2 linked regions of the Drosophila melanogaster genome follow. The protein of the gene in region 2 purifies or fractionates together with the protein of the main gene of each other region. This does not show direct contact. Each region holds a gene or a part of one and is shown on either strand. Other genes may lie near its edges. The genes, in order: wap and Reph.

Region 1 (6,586 bases), on a different chromosome or scaffold from region 2:
GCAACACCGATTGGGACGGGAGCGGCACGAAACCAAGTCCCCACTGGACCCTCTGAAGCCACAGCGCAACCTCTTCGCTCCTTGTGGCAGACCCTACAATCTGAACCAGGCCAAACTGCCCTTTAAGTTTCGGGATGAGGCCGACCATTACTTGCTCCAACTGGAGGTGTACAGGTAAGCTAGGCTAAGATGTCTTAACCAAACTTATACATATCTTACAAGTTATCACCAACATATTACATATGTATATCGATATTGGTATTGCTTGATCGTTTCTACGCCCCAATCATATACATACACTTCAAAATTCTTAATTAATATTGCATATGTATATTCCTTCGCCCAGACACCTGGATACCTCTCTAATTGACGTCGATGTGCAGACCACATACACTAGAGTCACCGTCAAAAAAAAGATCTTCCAGATCGCGTACAGCGAGGAGGTCAAGCCGGATGAGTCCACTGTGCAGCGTTCCCAGATTACAGGTCACCTTGTGGTCAATCTTAAGAAGCTAAAAGTTAACGAGCTGCTGATAGCCAAGAAAAGCCCGACTAAAAGGTAAGTTCATCCAGTTCATTGTATATCATGAACCACAAATCCTAGCTACCTTTTCATGTAGCCCTGCCGCCCCTTTTGATGCAGGAAAAAAAGATGGGAAACCGGAGGAAGCGTTTCACGGAGGAGTAGTGGACATCAGCAACATTTGTGCACCCGAAGATCTTCCCGATTTAATTTGAGACTGTGTTCATTATTTAAAAATGGTTTATTTAAATATTTGTCTGATTTGGTTTGTTTTCTCAAACTCCTCAGTGATCTTTTGTTTTGTTTGGTTTTTGTGATCCATCCATTCCATCGATCAATCATTAGCTTTCTAGTAAATACTTTAGCCCGATCGGATGCTCATATATATATGCGCTTGAGTGTGTGTGTGTGTGTGTGTGTGTGTTTGTGTACATATACATTTCATATATAAATGTAACGTAAGTCGGATAATGCAAAACAGGGCACACGAAAATAAAGATTAAATTAAAAATTATATTCTAACTTGGTTTTTTTTCGATTATTTTTTTTACGGAAACCGTGGTTTGCCAAATTAATGAAAATGTCTTCGCCTAGTGGCTACGAGCGTATAAAATATATCCAATTCCAAATTCCATAGACTTGATTTCAGTTTCTTACTCTTCTGCAGCAAACGAAAAAGTATTCGGATATGAGGATATAAATTCCCGTGAAGTGGCCTCTTAAATGGCTATACAAAATCAGGGCCTAAGTTGGTTTTCGTTTAAAATATGCCTTTCATGCTGTATTTACAATACACGATCATCGGGATTATTATTACTGCTATCGCTTTCTGTATACATATTTATATATAAGTTGTGAAATTGCTATAAATTACAAGATACATAAAAAAAATGTATTCGATTTTATCTGAAAAAGTCGCTTTGTCCTGTGGAAAGTATGGGATGTGGTTAAGATTTGAGATTATTGATGGAGGGTCGTGTCTTATCTGAAATGATCATAGTTTGTTTGCTTATTTTCGCTCGTTTGTTAAATGGATATAGCAACAATCTTGTATTCTCTCTCGCTCATATATTTCGGTATTTGTTTTATCTTTTAGTTTGTATCTTTAAATAGTATTGTATTCTAGCTGTGTTGTGTGCAGTTCGTCATCAGTTTCCTGGTTTGGTTTTTAATCTTTAATCTATGTAAGTATTTCGCTTATTTCTTTAATTCATTTCATATTATGTTTGTTTTGCAATTGCTTAAGTCCATGGTTTTGCTTTTGTTTTTCTTTATCTCTTGTTTTTGTCGTTTTTCCGTTTTTTGGATCTGTTACAAAAATCGAACAAAGTAAAAATATTTCGAAAAAGCGTTGTTGCCGGCTACTTTTTTACCTCTCATTTTTTGTTCTCTGTGTATTTTTGTGGTTGTTGCTGTTTTGACCAGACTCGAAAACTCGATTAACAGCATTCATGTTTGAAAAAACGAGGTAGGACATTGTGTTATAATAAATATGATTTCTTTTTCTTCTGCATTCCATTTGGGTTCGTATAAAAACGAAATAAAAAAGATTAAGCGGCTCTAATTGATTGGAGTTTTCGGGGGTGTGAGTGTCGGGATTTGTCAAGTGTGAAATAAACTACAATTATAAAACATATTTTGGTTATACCTTATATAATTACATACTTGTTAGATCAACTCAGCTAAGAATTCTAGAATAAGTGCTTCGTCCTCTTCTCTTTCCCTCAAACTCATATCTTTCTTTTAAGCCCTTTCTCTTTCCATTTCTCTGCCTCTATATCCGTCACTTTCACATTTTCTCTCTCTCGACAGACAGTAAAATTAAACAAACTGCGGACGCGTGTTGACAGAACTAATCCAACTTAAGCTCACTGCTTTCCGCTTCCAAGTTACCAACAGCAAATGTATGTTTATTTGTGGGTGTTGTGTGTTTTTCTGACTTGCTTCTTTGTTGACTGTGCGTTGTTCAGCAATTGCAGTCAGGTGCTTCAGCAAGGACCAGACCAAAAAAAATTACTTAGACCCGCAGGATCTCGCACGCTTTGTTATAGCAAATGGCTATCCAGTCGGGCTGTGTGGCACCCCACTGAATCTGATTGACTTCGCCCTCGGCAGCTGTATAGGCTAAAATTGGATCCTCGATTGCACGTGGCATTTGTTGTATATCCCAGATCAGTGCTTGGTGATCATCACCGGCAGTGCAGATGTGACAGGAACTGCAAACCAAAATACAAATTGTTTAGGCACATTTTAGGTTTAAGGAATCTTATAGTCTCACCTATGCGGCGCCCACGCAATACCGTTGACGCACGCTCTGTGATTGCTCAGTCTTGCAACGGGTGTACAAGGAACACGAACATCTAAAATTATTACTTCGCACGAGTCCATGGCAACGGTGGCTAAGTAGTTCGGGTCCTGTTTGTTCCAGGCCAAGCGCAGCAGCGCCGTATGAGCAGGATCCTATTGGATTTATCGTTATGTAGTCATCCGTTTTTGTGTTTTCGCGCGTTCTACTTACCTCATATATAATGGTCGAGTGCTCCAAGTGCCGCAGATCAAACATGCGCACCGACCCGTCCGCTCCCACCGAGGCAAACATGTCCCGACCGCCGCCGGCCCGCGAAAAAGCAATGTCGTATACTTCCTTGTCATGGGCAATCAATTGCGTCTTCACGTGTCCTGCCACATAGACGCGAGCGTGCGGCTGTCCGGTCTCCAGTCCCCAGATAGTGCAGGTTGTGTCTATCGATGAGGTTCCCACCAGATTGGGATCCACCTCGTTCCAATCAAACGAAGTGAGGGGAGCGCAAAAGTCGCTGTTCTTGTTGTTATTCAGTACGCACTCGAGCCGCGTGTCCGGTTCCCCGGCACGCCACACCCGCAAGTAGTCGCCACTGGTGGCCAACAGATCCGGATAGACACCCTTGGAGTCCGGGATCCACATGATCTTGGTTGTCGGATATGGATGATCAAAGGTGCTATTTGAAGAAGAAATAATCTGTCAGTGAGGAAGGGGATTTCGGAAAAATGGTTCGTATAACCAAATAACTATTCATATTTAAAATGATTACAATAATATCAAAACTGCTTATCATTTTATATTATTTTTTAAAGATAATATACGAAATATAAAATGAAAACAGAAAGTAGAAGGGATCAGCTAAACAAATATTCGGTATACCTCTTAGCACTAAATTCGCTGGTGTCCTCGTCCAGGCTGATGATCTGTACCTTGTTGTTGTACTCCTCGATGAAGCTGCCCAGTGCGAGCCGGAATCGCTTGTCCGGCCTTACACTCCAGTTCATGGAGTACAGTGGCCATGGCGCGAGATATTTGTAGATCTCCTTGCGCTTTCCGGCGGTCGAGGACATAACTGTAGATATGGAAAAGGATCAGCATGAGAATCTAGGACTCGTATTCGAATTCGGAGTCTGGATCAAGAACCCACCTGAACTGTGTGATTGGATACGGATATCCAGACCAAGACGAAGATCAAGACTTGGATGACAAGGTGCTGCTGAGTTTTCTCAATGCCGTTTAGCTGGTGGCCGGCCTAATGACGACGAGCTCCTTTGGTGATGATGACGACAATGATGATGATGGCTGATAATGACCACTCACAGCAGCGGACAACTCAAGAAAACTTCATGGAATGGGAAACAAAGGTCTTTGCTTGCCACTCGCATTTGCACACTTTACCGGCTTGCTTTTCCTTGGCTTTTCCTGTAGCTTTCCTCTTTTCCGAGATTCACATCATTTTGTGCACTGGCAGTATTGCCAGCTCGCCCGTTTTCCGACTAGAGTCCGTCCGTCCGTTTGCCGTCGTTATTCCGGCGAAATTTAGGTCTGGAGGACACCGATCGGAGAAGTCGAACTGTACTCAATCAACAGGGCGAAGGAATTAATTCAACGGCGTGCACATCGCGACCGCAACGCATCCGTTTGGCCAGCAAGTGGAATTGTGCCCGGCACTCCGTATAAGGTGGCAACACTAAAACGTAATGCGACGCGAAAATTCGTTTGTGGCGGTCCTTCGATGGGCAAGCTGCCCCGGTTTTACCTTATAATTTGGTTAAGTTTCCAATCCAACCACAGTTTTCTGAAACAGCACGGTCGGAATTACACGGAATTAGTATTCAAAGAACTTTTAATACATTCTTTTCGACAGAATTTTCACACAAAAACAGTGTGACCGCGCAGATAGCTATAAGAAATACCTTGTGCAAAATCATTGTTATATACCAGATAAACAAAATACTATTTATTTAAAACAAAATTCTGTATTAAATTATATTGAACTGTAATATATAATATTCTAGGCTTGACTTTAGTCTAATTAAGAATTGAAAGTTGTGTGTTTATTTCCACCCAGAAATCTTTTCCCTGGAACTGGAAATATAATTCGATTGGCGTTTTGTGCAAAAACTATTAAGTTTGAAGCATATTTTTCAAATCCCATATGATGGAATTCTGTGTAAATGGAACATTAAGAAGGCCTCTGCTCATCTGTTAGCAAGTACACCAACCATACATGCATCAGGCATAGTTCTTCGATAGTTATCGAAGAACAGTTAACCTATCTTCAAAATCTAGTGACGGTGACTTCGTTTCGGCGTGCGGCCACACTAGCAAAAAAAATAGGATTAAAAAGTGAGTTCTGTGTTGTGCAAAAAAAAATTGCTTTAATTCGACCGGAAAAAGGCCCTTTTGCGGTGCAAAACGATGATGTCGCTTGGCTGGCGTTAAAATTTGTGGGATATCATTAAGAGACGGGACTTTCGGCAGCGCGACCTCGTTCGCCTCGTGATGTTCGTTTTGCGGTCAAATTTTCACCTTCGCCACCCATCCCCTCGCCCATTTGTTTTCTATCTTAGTATGAATTTATACACTTTATATACGCATTTGCCTTTGTACATTTTTTGTGTTCCGTGGATGTATGAAAAATTCCTAATAGCCGTCGTCGTCACTTTTCCACTTTCCATTTTGAGAAAGATATTTCACTTTGCGTAATTCGTACGCTGCCTGGCGCCTGTGTGTGTGTGTGTGACCGTGTAGCCAATAGTGCTACATCGCTCGCGCGCACAATCTCGGCACTGTTTTACTACTACCCTGGCTCGCCCCCTCTCCCTCACACATTTCACTGCCAAACGTACGCGCGTGTGTGAGTGCACCTTTTAAAAATAGAATCTCATTTCGTTTCGTTTTATATATTGTTTTTGCTTTTATCACAATTATTTCGATTTTGACGTGCAAAGAATGTATGAGTTTTGTGTCTAAAGAAAGCGGCTAATCGTGGTAACCGTTGAAAAAGTTCAGCTACACCTGTGGGTACTCGCGTGCGATTGTGTGAGCTTGGATAATTCAATTTTTTTAAGTGAATGTGTGTGAATGGGCTGTAGTGTAGTTGTAGCATTTTATGAACGAAAGATCGATTCGTGAAAGTGTGGCCATCTTATGTTAGTTAAGGCCTACCACCCGCTTCTCCCATCCCCCTGCACTACACCACCCGCAGAGCCTTACACTTGTGCATGTATGTATGTAAAAGCAACGGTTTTCTCGAATGGGAGCGTAGACAGCCTGGCGGCACACACACGAACGTAACTTCATTTTAAGTGTTACCGCATAAGGACAGCCGTCCGCGTCCCACACCGCCCCTACCCAGTTCAGCCAGCCAGCGTCACACTGAAGTTGTTGTTATGGCAAACTTGAAAACGGCTTTTCTCTATTTATTACTATTTTGCGATTGTAAACAAGTGTCGATCGGTTTTCCACTCTCCGCCTAACTGTTCATCAGGGACAAATCGAAGGCCACAAATTCCCGAGATGTGCGTGGGTGTTTTTTGCGCTTGTGAAAAATCAATCGTGGGAAGGGGAAGAAAGACGAGGAGTTCCGCTTGAAGGGTTTCGCATTATCTTATGCAGAATTCAAGATAACCTTGCGCCTGCAAGCCTTCATTTCTCCAATAAGTGAATCAAATGTAAACGGACAAGGTCTTGACAATTTAGAATTGTTTGCACTACTAAAAGTACCGTCATAAAAATGTGGTTTTGATTAAAAGATG
Region 2 (5,661 bases):
TTCGTTTACTTTTGCTTTGCTATGGTTGCACACGTTACTGGTTTTTTTTTTAGTTCTTAGTTTTTGCATTTCATTTGGTTTTCCTTGAATTGAATATGGGTTTAACTTGCTGTGATCTCTTTTGTTTCTTTCGTTAGATTCTTCATATACGCGACAAAGAAGGGTAGTAATTATGCTTTACTAATACACATATGAGCTTGCAAACATTTGCCAATTGTTTAGTTGTTGCGCTTACTAGTTGTCCACCAAGCAATCATCAATCATATTGTTTAAACTAAAGAGCTTTAATCGTATGCATGAGTGTTGATGGCAGCTTTTTGGTTTAAATCGTTTCTCTTAGATGTGGATAAATTGAATATTGTGTATAAAATAGCTTGCTATTTTATGTTGTACATTAAACACATAATTTTACTGCTTTTCAACTGTCGCTGCGACAGTTTCGTTTTCCGGCTCCCCCCCACGTTGATCATACAAAAGGTTCTGTTTGTCTGTTTATATCATATTATTTCAGTTGCTATTGTTGCTTCACATTGTTGCTGTTGCTATTTCATCGTCCATACCTTTCAAATTTCCCGCTTTCCCGCTAGCCGCTTCCGCTTTTCTCAGCTTTCCTTCGTTTTATAGAAATATAATTTGTCTCTGTTTTTTTTTTTTCAAGTTTGAGTCTTCTGCCACATCAGCACAAACGTTTTTCGTCGGCTTTTAAAAAAATTTAAATACATTCTATCGTTCTACATCCCCATATCGCATTTTCTGCTATCGATGGCATGCCAATTCTTCAAAAGATTTTTTTTTTTTTTTTGGTTTTTCCCACACAAATACAATATTTACAGTTCACAGTTTCCACTGGCTGGATTTTTATCATCTAATTCATTACACCCAGAGCTTTTCCTTGAACATATTTTTAATCAATTCTTGTGATCCTTTCTATCATACGGCTGGCATATGATTTTCCGTCTCTAAACCCTCAATTTTGACTCAACTTTCGATCTTTTACATCCCGGAGCTTCTACAAATCTATTGTTTGTCCTCCTCAACTTTCGATCCGTGTTCGCATTACAGTTTTTGTTACAGTTTTTCAGTTTAAAATTGTGAAAAAATAGCTGCATCTATTGTAAATTTTAGGTTTGTCTCTTTTTTGTGTTTTTTGGTTTGCGTTAAAATTTGAATTACCTTTAGATTTATATAATTTGATTTGATGATATTTCCCGCTGCTGTTTGCGCTTGAATCTGAATCCTGAAACTGCTCGCTTGCATAATCTAGGGGTTTTACTAGCTGCCCCTAGACACTCTGGTTATCCTCCGAATGCTGTTTCAGTTTCAGCGTCCTGCTGTGGTTGTTGGTTCGTATAAAAAGTCTTTGATTTGCCCCCCGTTCCGTTGACCATCCTGCTCCCCGTCCCAATCCGACGACGATCCTTTTCCGGCTGCTGCTCTGGTGTTAGCGTGCTCTGCATTAGAGACTAACCTGCTGCATCTTATCAAAATCTAAACACGGCCGATGCGGTCGCTGCAGTCTCTGGGTGGCGACGGCGGTGACGTTAGCGGCATTTCCGGCGGAATTGGCAGCATTGTGTGTCGTTGTTGTGCCTGATGATGATGATGCTGACGATGGTGATATTGTTGTGGCGCCCCCGGCTGCACCACTGGCATTGTTACTGGGTCGCCGCCTGGGCGATATGGCGCAGTGGAACAGTTTCGCCGGCGGACTGACCGAACGCACCTCCATATCCAGGCCAGTGGTGCTGGCCGGACTGCTCCGCGAGCTGTTGTAGTGGAAACTATATTTCGGCTGCGGCTGGTAAATGTGGTGGCTGCTGTTGCTCATCTTTAGCGAGCTGCTGCACGCCTTGATCACACTCGGCTCATTCTCGTTGCCGCCGTTTCCGTTTCCGGTTGCGGCCACAGTTCCGCTGGCATTCCCTGCCAGTGCGCCAATCTTGGCGCACTTACTGCTATTGGCCGCGCCACCGCCACCGCCGTTGTCACCATTCTCCTCGTTTACACTATTATCACATAATTTAATATTTTCGATGCCACATCGGGCCTCCGATAATATCAGTGGCGTTGTGGAGCGGAACATCATATGGCTACGATTTGGCTTGAATGCCTCCAATGGCGGCGATGTGCGAAAATTCACGGGCGTCAATATCGGCTCCAGCGAGTTGCGCAACTGTTTCGGATTGCAATCATAGATTGGATTAAATGATTTTGATACTGTTTGACCGGAACCCACCTCATCGTCGGAGCTGTGGGCCAGCGATCGCTTGCGGTTCTCCACCATCAGCGTGGAGCTAGAACGCTTCGAGTTGGAGGTGGTGGCCCGCTCCTCGTAGGGCGCCTCCGTGTCCAGCGAGGAGGTGCATCCGCGATTCGAGATCCGGGAGGCACACGATGAGCCCGTGGCCGCCGTTCCGGGATGCTGACCCGCCTGCGAGGACGGCCCGTTGATCACCTCCAACTCCTCCTCGGAACTGTGCTGGTCGTACATGAGATGGGCGCAGGATGACGACGTCTGCTGGTGACACATCATTGCAGAAGCTATTGGTTTTTGGCCAGCAACACCTGGCAGGATAACAAACCCAAAAAGTTAGGATATCCGATGTAGTATGTAGTTTTTAAAAGTATCTTGATCACTTACTAGTTTCCATATCCACGTCTAAGTGACGTTGGTTTTCCACATCGAGGAGTTCACCATCAGATTCGGTGCCAGAGTCATTCGATTCACGCTGCGGAAGAATAAATTAATTTTATTAATAAACTAATAATTAATTAATAAATCGCACTTTATACAACAAAAAACAAACTATTCTTAGTGTATCTAAACTATGTTAAAATAAAGTCCTTAAAACTATATGTTCATTTAGAAATCGCACCTTTTTACGCATAAAATTTTTCGATTCCCTCAGTGTATTTTCGCGATTTTTCTGTCTGACAAACTTTATCATGATTTTCTACTTTGGCTGTTATTCACTTCGCATGCCACACGCACACAATGACAACGATGCACCCACGCAGCGCACACACACAGTGCAGAAAACTTACTACGACGCCGCAGTCGCAGTCGGCGCCGCAGTCGACGTCGAATTCGCTATTCCTCTCCTTCTTCTGCTTTTCCTTGTGCCTGTGCTTCTCCTTCGCCTTCTGTTCGCGCTACTATTACTACATACTACCGACTTTTGTGCCGTTGCGCTTTACACGCCGTTTCTATTTATACGCCTCCGCATGTATTTTTGTTTGTTATTTTTACGCGCTGCTTCGTCGTGCATCCCTTTTGTGCAAAAATTTCAATCACGTTTACGTTCTCTCGCACTCTCTTCGGTTGTAAATGCGTAGTCAACGAGTAACGGTAGCGGCGAGAGAGTTAGAGTTCCTGCCCTCTCTCTTCGGTTTCCTTGTTTTAAAGAAGTTGTTTTCCGAGTTTTATAGCATATTTTCCAAATATTCCGATATCTGGACTGATCACAAGCTATTATATTTTTCATGAAAACTCCGTTTCGATCTTTGAATTTGCAACTTCGAGTGTTTTATTGTGATTTTTTGCAAATCTCTTGCTCCACACACTCTCTTTCGCGCACACTTGGCTGTGGTCCTCAAATCACCCGAACCGAACTCAAATCCCGAACGGAATATCCGCGCACCTTTCGCCGTAACTTATACAGCACGGAATTATCGATTTTTTTGGCACGGCTACGGGAAAGGCAACCAGACGACGCGAAATCCGCAAAAAAAAATAATAAACAGGCACACCGCACCTCCAAAGGGTTAAGCTTTGCTGCTTGATGTCTTTTAACCCATCGAAATTGGTTTTCAAACACTGCGCGGCATTAGCTTAAGTTCTGCTCTTCGGCGTTTTTCGAATTTCCTAGCGAAATGCAGTTGTGCAACTGTTTTGGATCCGCCTACGCCTGCTGACTTTGCTGGTTACTACGGTGTTACTGTGTGTATCGGGTATATATCGGGTATATTCGCTACAGCCCACCGCCCGTCACCGGCTAACGTTGCGCTCCAACTGAAAAGCCATTGCGACCACAATGTGGCAATGTGTCTCCAAGTCTCTGAAAATCAAAATCTCTGCGCTGGCGCTGGAGACCCGCATTCCCCTTGCCATAAGCCAATTCTCCACTGCGTGCAACCCACGATTCTCTTGCAATTTCAGGGTTACCAGACGCACGCTGGAAAATCCAATAGAATTGACTTCAGTAGCATAATTAAATTAAATTAAATTTTATTTTATTTTGGAACCTCAAATCTTTTTTATACCAAAAATAGTGAGAATAATATAAATTGGTTGTTAAAATAATTAAATGTCATAACGTATATTTGATACATTTTAAGGGAATTAATAAAAGATTAGAGAATGTTTCTCCGGCCCCAGAACTCTTCAATCAGTGATTTAAATTTCTAACATAGAACAACTACATATTTAAATAAACTTTAACCTGCATTCGACCCCCTATCTTATTTCACAACAATGTAAGACTTGTTTAATTGCAAAAGTTGCGCACTATAATTGATTGTGGATAATCGGCGTGTAGTAATTAACTGCGCGAAATTAACATTCCCTGCAAATTTCTTTCGGGTGATTTTCTTTTGTGTGCACCTTGTTTTCCCATTCATTGAATTCCTCGCCCGTTCCCACCCAACAATTGCTCAAATAGCGCTTGCAATAGCGCTGGCAACCCTGGCCGCACTCACAAAGTGCACTTACTACACTTTGGATGTGGATGCGATGATGCCCGTGTGGGCGCTCATGGAAAATGGAGGGGGCAGGGGGGCTGACGTATCGCTGCGTGCTTTTGTACATGCGCGCTCAACTCGTGCCTCCAACATCGGTGGACAGATGCCGAACGAAAGTATAAGTTTAAGTAGCATTAAGTCATTATGACTTTTTTTTTTGCACACCTTTGTTAGGTTTGGTTTATACATAATGCAGACAGAAGATCAAGATCAGCTGACAACGGAACGTTTAAAAATGTAATCGGATTTTTCAGATAACATTCCATACAATTTAACATACAATTTTGTCGCGCACCTTGGTACTTATAGACGAAAGAAGAAGCAGCTGGAGCGGGCAAGTTCCTATTCCAATGACTATATGCCTATATATTCATGTCTATGAGTAGTAACGTGTGGCAGCAAAAAGAAGAGGCAAGTAAATGAAGAGAAGTAAACGAAGGGGAGGTGAAGAAATACGGCAAAAAAGTTGCAACGATGATATGGGAAATTGTTTGGAGCTCGCTTTTCGACACCGAATGTGGAAAACATGGGGAAAACATGACATGGAAAACTACGCACGAACTGGTTTTTCGGCTGCTCGAGGCAGTTTTCTCAATTTATTGTTTCTTACAAACGTCATGTAACTTTATTCCACATTTGTTTAATTTGTTTCAACTAATATATGATAAGTGTGGAAAGCCGAAAGCACAATAAATTATTAAATTATACCTGTTCAAAAAGGATACAAAATAAATACAAACATTTAGATTTTACGGTTAGATTTCTTACATTCGTTTCATGAGGAAAATGTGATTTTCGCCTTGTGCACACACATGTTTAATAAGCTATTATTCCTTCTAAGTTTTGCCACTATATTTGCAAACTCCCTCGTGAGCTTTTCAATTTGCTTTCAATTTTACGCGGAAAATTTTACTACGAGTC

Evidence for each region.
Region 1: the proteins of Reph (region 2) and wap purify together in Drosophila melanogaster (affinity purification with mass spectrometry, with the first as the bait; one large-scale study listed by BioGRID). This does not show direct contact.

Annotation. Positions count from the first base shown.
Region 1 is NC_004354.4:22,450,690-22,457,275, forward strand, and holds wap (wings apart), read right to left. Parts: upstream 4,734-6,586; 5' UTR 4,585-4,733; exon of another isoform or gene 4,371-4,584; 5' UTR 3,973-4,370; intron 3,898-3,972; 5' UTR 3,896-3,897; coding exon 3,705-3,895; intron 3,502-3,704; coding exon 3,042-3,501; intron 2,984-3,041; coding exon 2,802-2,983; intron 2,740-2,801; coding exon 2,541-2,739; 3' UTR 756-2,540; downstream 1-755. Other genes in the region: tilB (touch insensitive larva B), read left to right, coding at 1-174, 347-559, 621-738.
Region 2 is NT_033779.5:3,804,037-3,809,697, reverse strand, and holds Reph (regulator of eph expression), read right to left. Parts: upstream 4,017-5,661; 5' UTR 2,949-4,016; coding exon 2,877-2,948; intron 2,730-2,876; coding exon 2,642-2,729; intron 2,566-2,641; coding exon 2,237-2,565; intron 2,174-2,236; coding exon 1,457-2,173; 3' UTR 803-1,456; downstream 1-802.